Ovis aries: one gene and its partners. The protein of the gene in region 3 binds, or shares a complex with, the protein of the main gene of each other region. Links are inferred from orthologs where the notes say so. Each region holds a gene or a part of one and is shown on either strand. Other genes may lie near its edges.

Region 1 (4,090 bases), on a different chromosome or scaffold from region 3:
AATAGCAACAACAACCTACCAACCATAACAGACATTGTTGACTAACTTCATTCTCAAACCCTCCCTCCTCTCAGGTTCTAGAAGCTGCCCCAGCCCAAAGCCGAGGGTGTGCAAGCTCTCAGGGCTGGAAATGGCAAAGAGGGGGATAGGACCCTGCTTCTGCGGCTTGTCGTGGGATTTGGAACAAAGACCCGCAGCAGAGTTGCAACTTTGTTCTTTGCTTCATGTCAGGATGACAACGTGAAGGTGGAGATTTGGGGAGAACACTGTTGTAGATATCTCAGCTCTTCAGCAGAATGGGTACCAGTTTTAAATCTGGAGGTCAAGGGAGGGGTAGTGGGTGCCTTATTTGCATATCATCAGTGGTTAAAAGTCAGCGTAGGTGGGAGAAGATAGGGGCTGAAAGGAATAGGTTACTTATAGCCAATTCAGCAAAAAATTGGGCACCTCTTGGACACAAAGGTCTTCTCCAATTGAGGGTCCAGAGTACAGATTGCTCAAAACCACGGAACACTTGTTTATCCCATTATCTCCCTTGGCCTTGATCCCCGGAATCTATATATAGTTGCTTCCACCAAACACTGAATTGCTACCCACAGTCCAGCCCTGCTGCCCACTGCCCACCCCACCCACCACACCCTCAGTCATGAATTAACCTGCCTGGGCTCTGTGCTAACACGCAGAAATGAGAAACAGACAGCTCTGTTTTCTCTTGAGTTCAGTTAGGGGTAGGAGCAAGAGTAAGAGAAAGATGGGAACAAGGTTTGATTTGTGACATATCCAAATCCAGGCTAATGTGGGCTACTAAAACAGAGTTCTACTAGGAGCGGTCAGAAAGAAAAAAACAAATGTCATATATTATGCATGTATGTGGAATCTAGAAAAATGGTACAGATGAACCTATTTGCAAAGCAGAGATAGAGACAGAGACACAGTGAACAAATGTATGGACACCAAGGGGAGGAGTGTGAGGTGGGATGAACTGGGAGACTGGGGTTGCCATCCACACACTACTACTACTGCCGTCGCTTCAGTCGTGGCCGACTCTGTGCGGCCCCATAGACGGCAGCCCACCAGGCTCCCCCGTCCCTGGGACTCTCCAGGCAAGAACACGGGAGTGGGTTGCCATTTCCTTCCCCAATGCATGAAAGTGAAAAGTGAAAGTCGTGCCCTTAGTGACTCTTAGTGACCCCATGGACTGCAGCCCACCAGGCTCCTCCGTCCATGGGATTTTCCAGGCAAGAGTACTGGAGTGGGGTGCCACTGCCTTCTCCTACTATGTATAAAATAGATAATTAATGAGAACTTACTGGGTGGCACAGAGAACTCTGCTCAGTGCTCAGTGGTGACCTGAACAGGAATGAAATGCCCCCCTAAATGTATACATTTAGCTCTTTCTCTTTGCCATATAGCAGAAAGTAGCAACACTGTAAAGCAACTATACTCCAATTAAAACTTTTTTCAAAGTAGCCAAGAAAAATTTCTGAACATTAAGCAAAGGGTGGCGAACAGGGCATCGAATTTCAGAAGCAGAGCTGGCCAGACAACTAGGGACTTTTTGTTTCCTCTTCTGTTTACAGTAATACCCAGCACTTATGAAAGCACCTGGCCCGGAACGAGTGGCCCACCAACAGTAGCAGCCCAGGCACTGAGTGAAGAGAATAACCATCCTGTCAGGGCACGGAGAACAGCAAGAAAAGATCCTCTGCATTTCCTCATTGACTCCCACAGCCACCCAGGTCAAGTAAGTGCCTGCAGTAGCTCCATTTTCAGATGGAGGCAATGAGGCTTAACAAGATGAAGGTAGAGCCTTGAAAACCCAGATGCCTAGGCCGCATCCCCAGATCAGCTCTGCTGAATCCAGGGGTGAGTGGCCTCTGGGCACTGGGACTCTCGCAGCATCTGAGAAGAGTCAAGCTTGAACCAAGGTGAGGACCGAGGCCAAGCAACAGCCCAGGTGCCAAGCCAGGTTACGATGCAGTGCAGATCCACCATCCTGACCCCCACCCACTGCAGGGCCTCCTGCCTCTGCCCTGGCCGGGTTTATAAGGGAGAACCCAGGAGCAGTGCCAGAGCCCCATGGCTCTCCCTCTCTGTCTGAGGAAAGCGGGCTGAGCAGAGCGGCCATGCCCCACAGGCAGATGCAGCCTAAACTCTGTCCACGGTAAGTACAAGCAACAAGCCCAGACATTTCCGTCTTGATTCTACTGTTTGTTTCCGAGTTGAGCCATGGCAACTGGTGAGGGGCAGAGGGTGGGGAGGCAGGGGGATTTAGCCCTCCCACCCCCATGGGTTTGCTCAAACCCTCTTCGACATACACAATTGAGATTTTTTCAGTCTTATGTAAAGTGAAAAGAAATGTCCTTAGGAAACGCATTGATACAAATCTAAACGTATGTATCCTATATAAACCAGTCTTAGCCTGTTCCCACTACTCTGCCAAATCCCTCCTTGGTGTTAATTCTGGAACCCCTCTTCTTTCCCTAAAGAAAGTACTAAAGCTCCCAACCCCCCCACCCCCGCCCGCAGCTGCAGGGCATCACACTCAGCCCCGTTCCCCCACCCTTGAACAGGCAGAGCCAGCTGGAGCTGTGCGGTCAGCTCCCGGTCCCCAGCAGGTAAACCCCACGTTGTGGGTACCAGTCCCTGCTCACCAGCATCAGGAACGCGAGGAGCAGCAGCAGCGCGGGGTGAACCCTGCAGCGCATGCCGCCTGGTGAGCACCCACAGCCCACGGGCATGGCAAGTCCTCCTGGCTGTGGGCCCGTCCTTCCCAGCAGGCTCTCTTCTCCTATCACCGTCTGGTCACCTTGTCACAGACACTCTCTCAACTCTTCCCGTCCCTGCTCCCGAGCATTCTTGTATTTATCAGGGGTGGGATGGGAGGCTGAGGCTTAGCCTTTGGCCTCATTAACCACAGGCAGAATTCTCAGGAAGGGAGTGGAGGAAATAAAACTGCCCCAGCGATACGCACAGCAGGCGTCTGACCCCAGGAGACCAGGGCTCAGTCAGAGGAGGGTGAAGCCAGTATCTATGGGGAAATAGGGGTTTGGTTTCTTTGTTTTTGGTTCCAAAATCAGTGGAATGCCTACTGATCTCTTCCTTGTAGCAGAGTATTTTAATGCTCATTTCCTTATAGGCTCTATTGCTTGAAATCAAAGAACTGGAAAAGGACTCCAAAAAAGAATAACTTTATTAAGAGACGAAAAAAAAGAGAAAAGTATAATTTTACCTTCCAAAGCATTAACCATCTTTATCCCAATCATTTCTTGAAGTTCTGGGGTTCATAGACTTCACCAAAATCTCCTTTACGTTTAGATGAACCTGCCTTTTTGATTCTGAGATGAAAGAAAGAGGGAGGAGGGATGGGAAAGAGGCTCCCTGTGGGAGGGTCTCTGTACCGACCTGGGGCCTTTACATTAGGATTCTGGAAAAAAGACAAGTTGAGGTTCTAACATACCAATACTTCAGGCTGCAATGAACAAGTGGAAAACAAGATCTAACACTCATTAGTCCCCATTACCTTAACGTATTACCTGTGATCACATCACCTTGTTGAAAACACTAAACAGTTCTTCAAGAGGTGAAATAAAAGATAATATTTACCTTGTCTTAATGTATTTTCATGGCTCTGTGACAGGTTGCTGTACTTTTTAATTTGAATTGTTTATAATCTGAATCCAAGTTGTTTGTTACTAAAAGGAGTAAGTAATGCAATTTTTAAACCTTTCTATATTTCCTGTACATAGAGTGGGGAGGAGAGTGGGAGGAGTGTTCAGGACACATGTATACCTATGGCCAATTCATACTGATGTACGGCAGAACCCATCACAATATTGTAATTATCCATCCTCCAATTAAAATAAAGAAATAATTTTTTTAAAGAAGCAGAATAATAATGATCAAATTTACAACTTTGAATAAATAAATCTTCATTTACTTTCAAGATGGATATTTTTATTCCATGTAAATCTATTGGCCACCTGATGCGAAGGGCTGATTCATTTGGAAAGACCCTGATGCTGGGAAAGATTGAGGGCAGAAGGGAGGGCACGAGAAGGGGACGACAGAGGGTGACATGGTTGGATGG
Region 2 (3,646 bases), on a different chromosome or scaffold from region 3:
AAAGGGGAGGCAAGCAGGAAGGTAGGAAGTGTTCCCAGACTGTGTAGCACCAGCAGTCCCCTGACATCCTGGGTCCAGTGACCCCAGTCAGATGACTGTACTTTTATGCACCATGTTCAGCAGAAGACAGAATTTCACTAGGGCTGTATTTTGAAAGGCAAATAAGGGGAGTAAAAGGGTGCAAAATAGATTGTACTGATGAAACAGAAGCTGGAATAGGAGTGAGACAAGGACCCAAGAGGCTGAGGGAGGGTTGCAAGTGGGGAGGACCAACCGGCTGAATATCCTGATGGACTCAAAGCATTGTTGGAAGTCACAGAACCAAAGGGAGCAGCTGACGGAAGGGATGATGGGGATGCTGGTTATGACAAGGACCAGGCAAAAGAGGCTAACTACAAGGCATCAAGAAACCAAGAGGCCCTGGGTTGGAAGGATGGTTCCTGAATTAAATCAAGACAAAAAGGAGGAACTAAACCAAGGCTGCTGCAGACCTACCCGTCCTTGCTCCCTGAGCCCTCCCAGGTGACCACACCCAGGTTCCATCTCACCACACCTGCCAGGGCCTCTTGTACTTACGATCCCACACAGCAGTAAGCACACAAGAAACAGCTACTACATGCCAGGCCCTGACCTGACCTCCAGTTCATCCCATCAAGCTACCAACACCATCATCTGCATCTTAGAGAGATGCGGGAACTTGCTGAGAGTCTCAGATGTGAGGAGGAACCCTGCTTCCACAGAACAGGCCCTGGATGTGCAGGTATCCTGGGGTGTGTGCAGTGCCAGCTCATTTAAAACCCCAAAGGCATTAACCTCAGACACTCAGCAACTCATGATTATTAATGTTTCTTCTATTCTCTGTCCGCATGCAAAGAACTTTGGAAAAACAGGGCTGCGTTTTGCCATCACTGGTGCGCTTGACCCAGGGACCCCTTCGCACCTCTGGGGGCCAGGCCTCCCTGAGCATGGGCTGCTCTCCAGCACAGCAGCAGGGGTGAACAAAGCAACAGGCTCCCCCAGATCCCCTCCCAACCCCCAGTATGTGCAGGTGACCCGGGCCTGCAGGAACACCCAGCAGCCAGCCATACAGTCCTTGAGCCATTCTTGTTGCTCCTTACCCCTGAGAGAAGTGCAGTAATGCCCAAATGTTGCTACGTTGCATACAGAATGTATCCAGCCTGATGCAACTACCTTAGAAATGGCTTCTGTTTCCAGCTGAGGGGGTAAAAAGGGGGACAGAACCCCGTCCGCCTTGGGCGGTCGGACTAGCAAACCATGAAGGTGTAACGGAAGCTTCCCGACAAGACTAGACTGTCAGCAGAGGCCAGCAGCCGTCTACTCAGCAGGCCTGCCTTCCAAATGCTGGCTCTGTGGCTACGGCAGGGCTGGCCCGAGCCTGGGGGTGACTCCGGGAGAGCTTGGCACAGGTCCTGCTCTCCACTTCCAGAGCAACACATTCATGTTCAAAACAGCGTGTGAGGCATCAACTGCTATGTGAGTCCCAGCCTAAGACACGGGATGATCACGGAGGAGGTGGTTTCTCAAAACCCTACTGTTCATGCCCAGGGGACCCCAGACACTGCCTCAGACGCTGAGAACTGCCTCTGGCTCAGAGAGGACGGGTCAAACGGGGCCCAGAGCAGGTGGCACTTCCCTTCAGCCACGGTGAGAGGGCTCGACACTTGGCCCTAGAGATCAGGAGCATCACCAAGGGCTGCACAGCCCCTCATCCTTCCCCTCAATACCCTTGGGCTCTAGTACCCTGCCTGCCTGCCACCCCTCTGAGGTGAGGAGTGCTCCATGTAAAGAACAGTTTCAACCTGAATAAAGGAAATATTCCCTTCTCTGAAATTCACTGAGGAGCCTTTATTTTCTATCACTGCCCTTTAACTCAAGAGGAAGCCTCAATTCATACTAGGTCCCCTTTTCTCAGCCCAAGTTTGGGCTCTAACTTGCAACTAAAAGTCATTTTAAACAATGTAATTAAACATATCTCTTCCTAACAGCCCTTAGATTCATGGTTTTAATATATTGCCAACACATCTGTTGAGTTCCAGAATGATGCATTGCTCAAGTTTAGCAAATGATAAGAAGGAAGCTGTTAAAACATCTGAAATGCAGTTACTCACCCTTATCATCAACACCGCTTTCCTGATGTCCCGGATGCCATCGTACACCAGGCGGGAGGCATCAATAAACTCGTTTTCATCCATGGGCTGGGCAGGGTCTGAGCTGAGGGCTTCCACAGCCGCTTCCACTTGCTCAGTAAAACGTGGCATGACTGCGGAGAAGAGAGATGATAACATCACCACCAGCCCTCCTAAATCCCTCAGTCAGATGCAGAGAGGCAGAGTGTATGATGAAGAGCCTCTGCTTCTACCTATGTGAGAGGTATTTATAGTTCAAATAAATTAAATGCCATATTTTACAAAGACTTGAATCCTCTTCTTTGTCTCTGGCCAGATTCTGGAACACAGGATTTAGATGGCTGAGAATTTGAATTGGGATTAACTAGAGGCCTTACTAGAATGGGACTCTCCTTAATTTAGTGTGTTCACTAACTAGAGATATAACTCAGAAGTTCAGAGTTCAGAACGACTCCCATTACTACCTGTGGGACACAAGTAAGGGAAACGTGTTTGTGTGGTCTTACTGTGGCTGACCAATGACTCATAAATCCGATGTACCTTCCAGAACTCTTGTCCGAAAACCAAACTGAGCCCCAGTGTCCTACTTCCTAACCAGAGGGCCATCTGTGTGTGAGGAGCACAGGTGAGGGAGGGGTCCCGCACCTGTGTTGGAGAGCAGCTTGGTTGCTTCCAGCACCTTCTCTGTGTAGACTCCTGGTTCATAGTTGTCCATCTCTGAGGTGACAACATGAATGACCCGGGCAGCCCGGCCTCGAATTGCACCAGCTGTGCGGTCTAGCCCATCCACATCTTTCTCTTGGAGAGCAATGACACATTTGTTCACGTCTTCCAAAATGTGATTCTCTGAGGAACAAACAAAAACAGCTGAATGAGGGAGGAGGCCTCCCACCAGAAGTGGACGATTTTAAGCTGGCATCTGTCACTCATCCAGTGCTCACTGCGTGCCAGCTACAGTGCCAAAAGCTTTGCACATCATTCACTCAAGAGACCAGACTACCCAGGGATCAACTGCCTGGAAACTGGACCTGCAATCACCCCAAGAATAACCATCTTTATTCCAGGTTTAGAAGAGACAGGCAGAGACGCCCATCTTTCAGAATCCTTGATAATTTCTTTCCCTTAAACAATTTCATTGATTTTATATCCCAAAGTCTAAATTAGAAGACAAGGTTCACTATTCCCAGTCCCTTGCCCCTCGCTCCAGGAGATGCCAGTGGTATTCAGACAAACGACCAAGACATCAGGACAACTCTGGAACATGAGAAGAGCCTGGAAGGCAGGCAAAAGCCTCGTGGAGTTGGATTTGGAAGATCTACCAGAACTGTTTTTCCTCAAAGACAAAGCTTGACCCTGGGTATTGGGAACCCCAGAATGAGGAGTTCACGTTAACCTCATCTATAATAGCAAAGTAGGAGCAACCAAAATGTCCCAGAACAGAGTAATAAATTATGGGCACTGGGCAGCCACTGAAATGGATGAAGATCTGCAGGGGCTGA
Region 3 (3,646 bases):
AAGGAAATGGCAACCCACTCCAGCATTCTCACCTGGAGAATTCCATGGACAGAAGAGCCTGGCGGGCTGCAGTCCACGGAGTCGGCAGACACGACTGAGCACTAACACTTTCACTTTCAACTGGCTAGTCGGCTCCTGAAAGCCTAAAATCCTTAACCTTGTTCTTAACACCAAACAAGTGGAAGAAATTCACAAGAACAAGTATGCTATAGCTTCAGATATCAGGTTCCAAATGGGGCGTCAAATCTTAGGCAGAAAATAAATAAACTCTTGACACAGAACCAAAGGCCTCTCCTCAGGACACAGACCAATTAACTGTCACAGGTTGTTTTCTATAATTAGAATACATGGTATTTATAATGAAAAAAGGAGACCAAAAAAACCAGGTGAGGATTTAGCAAGATCAGAAGAGGGACGATGAGGCCGGTCTCCTACAGACGCGGGCGGGGGAGGGGCCCGATGCCGCCCCCGCGGGGAGGAGCCGCCCCCGCGGGGAGGAGCCGCCCCCGCGGGGAGGAGCCGCCCCCGCGGGGAGGAGCCGCCCCCGCGGGGAGGAGCCGCCCCCGCGGGGAGGAGCCGCCCCCGCGGGGAGGAGCCGCCCCCGCGGGGAGGAGCCGCCCCCGCGGGGAGGAGCCGCCCCCGCGGGGAGGAGCCGCCCCCGCGGGGAGGAGCCGCCCCCGCGGGGAGGAGGAGCCGCCCGCCCACCGCCCGCCAGGCGCCTCGCCGCCCTCCTCCCTGCCCACCTGAGGCGCCGCCGCGGGTCAGAGGGCGTCCCTGTCCGCCGGCCCGTGCCGTAATCAGACATCATGCCGTAATCCACGTCATCATAGCCCATGCTTCGCTGGTCGTCCTCCAGCCCGTAGGGCTCCGGATGAAAGCGGTGCAGATCCACGCTGCTCCCGCCCACCCGGACCTGGGGCTGCGGCCCGTAGACGTCCTGCCGGCTGGGCGCCCGGTAGCCTTCCATGCTGGGCCTGTACCGCTCCTCGATGCGGGTCACCCGCGACAGGCTGCCGTAGTTGTCGCCGCTCCCGGGATACCCGTCCTCATAGTGGCGGCTGTATCCGTCAGGCGGGTAGTGGAAGTTCCTGGGGAGGGTGGCCGTGCCTGCTTGCCCCACGTAGGGACCAGGGCCCCCGTTGCCGTTCTTGCGGAAGTCACGGCCCAGAGTCTGGATGTAGCTGTTCGACACCGATGAGGCGTCTACAGGCAGCCCGTCGGGCCCCATAGGGACTGGCTGCACCGTCCGAGTCGTCACAGTCTTCACCACTTTCTTGACCTTTGAGTAAGGAAAGAAAAAAGGAACATTAATGACACGAACAAATTAAGCTTAGACTCCAGACCCCTCTAAGAAATAACCCTCTGCTCCCAGCTTGCTTTCCCTGGAAATGCCGAGCAATCGCACCGTCTCCCCTTCGGTCTTCCGGGAAGTCTGCAGGGAACAAACCCGCACTGGCAGTCACAGTGCCTCAAGGAAAGCTGCCGAGACTCTTCCTCATTCCATCAGGTTTTCTCATATCTCTTCTAGCTTCCCCGTCCAGCCAGGGCGCCCTTTCTCTACACCTTCACTACAGATCACGGGCCCTTCCGCCAGCCTAGTGAACTGCCCAGCCCTTCCCCTCAATAAAGGCCACAGGAGGACGTCCACCGTCACCCCAGACCTTACGCAAGTCTCAGCTTACTGTGGTCTCTGTGCGCCGAGTGGTTCCATCGTCTGAGGTCTCCACAGAGACCACAGACATGGCGCCCTCGGGGTCCTCTTCCGTGTAGCTCTCCACAATCTGCCCCGGCTCCTGCATCCTGGGGATAGTGCTGTATAGAAGGTGGCTGTGATCCTACACGGAAGAGAGAAAAAGGAAAGAGCCACTCCTAAGCCATATACACTAACGATCCCTCCCAACAAGCAGCACAGTCTCCCTGAGGACAACGCATCTTCTGAATTTTTAGGAGTGACTGTTCCCACTTTCCCAACTTGTACAAAAGGGCAGAAGACATAAGTTCCCAGTCCCATTCACTTAACAAACAGGGACTGAGTTAACTATAGCTACATCAACAACGCCCTAGTGGCAGAGACAGCAGATATACCGCCCCAGTTCTAGTCATCTAAGTGAACATGAACTGTGTAAAAAACAGCTATATCTGTATCTGAGTAAGCCTTCAAATAAAACAAAGTTTACCCAATAAGAACCTTTAAGATGAACCAGAAAACCTCAGTAAGAGCTATCTTCTGAATGGCTCAGTGTTATTTTTCAGATATGCCTAAGGCTCAAGAGCAGCTAGATTTTAGGGAGGGATTTCTGCAAAGTAGAACCATGCCCACTCTAGAAAAGGGATGCAGTAATTGAGGGATCAAACACTAAATCAATGGCCAGCGTAATTAAGCCCAGAATAAAACCATAGATATACTTTGAAGCTCCCCTTTTTTCCATTTTCTTCCACTAAATGGAACTAATTAATGACAGTTTACAACGTGCCAGGTAATTTAGAAGACACCAATATGCTCTCAAGCTAGGAAAGTAAAAAAGATATGAGCAAACAACCCAGACCTTGAACCAAAAGAGGTACCTGGGGTCCGTTGAGGTTTAGATCTGAAAATTTCTGTCGCTCAAGGTCAGCATCGCCCACAAAGCGGCCGTTCTGAAACAGAGCCCACAGGAAGACAGTTCGATTCGCGGCCTTCTTCTGCTCTATCAAACACAAATGACCTTTTTCCAAACAGGAAAAGGGCTTTCAAGAAGGCATGTGTGGCCTAGAGTCAGTACAGATAAAAGAACCACATCACGCCTTAGACTCAGCACCTCAGACCCGCAACTGGGCCTGGAGCTCGGGCGGCCCGTCCCTGAAGCCTGAGACTGCGAGGGCTCTGAGGGCAGAGGTGCTCGCATGCTTTGGTCAGCTCTGTTCAGCGCCTCCCTAGCGCCCTCAACAGTGCCTGCACATCCGAGGCACTCAAAACTCTTCTGAATAAGGTAAGTTCCCCATGAAATCTGTTTGGAAAGCCATAAGAACATAGGAAAGTTGGAAAAGCTAGGGTGTGGGGTTTCCAAAAGCCTTTAGTGTTTCATGCATCTTCACACTCTATAACCTTGGGAAACTCCCACACCAGGCAGCTTTATAAAGAAAGAAGCAAGAGATAAGAGTTCCTCTTTCCAAGCAGGAAGAAAATAAGCATCTCAACCCCCTTTAAGCAAACAAATGTCTCAATATCTTCATCACCAATTATAAGATCCACAGAACACATTCAAAAATGTCGTTAAGTTGCTCCATCTGAAGCAGCAGGGTTAGGGTTAGGGTTAGGAATAATCTCATGGCCTTATACTATGTAAAACACATTTGACCACTCCCCTTCAGAAAGCATGCACTGAGATTCGGCCACCTTGAGAGACTCTTCCCTACCCTACTCCCATTACGTAGGACGTGTAATGCTGTAGGCAAAGGAAGTTAAACATTATTTTCAGGAAGAAGGAAGGGTGTGGTTTCACTGCTGAGCAGAAGTTAAAAATAAAAGAGAGAGACTCCATGTAGTAAATCCTGGAATTCCCCACCACCTCCAAGGCTGAGCGGTCCTGCTCTCCTTTGCAATATCTACCCCTCCAACCCTAAGCCTCTATTCTTGTTCCTGTAAAAAGCCTAGAAGCACTGCAAA

The links.
Region 1: CTNND1 (region 3) and CDH26 share a complex: the UniProt entries of both Homo sapiens proteins name them as parts of the cadherin:catenin adhesion complex. The link is inferred for Ovis aries from reciprocal best matches to the Homo sapiens genes CTNND1 and CDH26.
Region 2: CTNND1 (region 3) and CTNNA1 share a complex: the UniProt entries of both Homo sapiens proteins name them as parts of the cadherin:catenin adhesion complex. The link is inferred for Ovis aries from reciprocal best matches to the Homo sapiens genes CTNND1 and CTNNA1.

Annotation. Positions count from the first base shown.
Region 1 is NC_056066.1:56,277,877-56,281,966, forward strand, and holds the start of CDH26 (cadherin-like protein 26), read right to left. Parts: upstream 2,840-4,090; 5' UTR 2,742-2,839; coding exon 2,655-2,741; intron 1-2,654. UniProt on the Homo sapiens protein: Cadherins are calcium-dependent cell adhesion proteins. They preferentially interact with themselves in a homophilic manner in connecting cells; cadherins may thus contribute to the sorting of heterogeneous cell types.
Region 2 is NC_056058.1:47,904,833-47,908,478, reverse strand, and holds part of CTNNA1 (catenin alpha-1), read right to left. Parts: intron 2,994-3,646; coding exon 2,793-2,993; intron 2,282-2,792; coding exon 2,130-2,281; intron 1-2,129. UniProt on the Homo sapiens protein: Associates with the cytoplasmic domain of a variety of cadherins. The association of catenins to cadherins produces a complex which is linked to the actin filament network, and which seems to be of primary importance for cadherins cell-adhesion properties.
Region 3 is NC_056068.1:79,803,693-79,807,338, reverse strand, and holds part of CTNND1 (catenin delta-1), read right to left. Parts: intron 2,638-3,646; coding exon 2,566-2,637; intron 1,836-2,565; coding exon 1,683-1,835; intron 1,280-1,682; coding exon 744-1,279; intron 1-743. UniProt on the Homo sapiens protein: Key regulator of cell-cell adhesion that associates with and regulates the cell adhesion properties of both C-, E- and N-cadherins, being critical for their surface stability.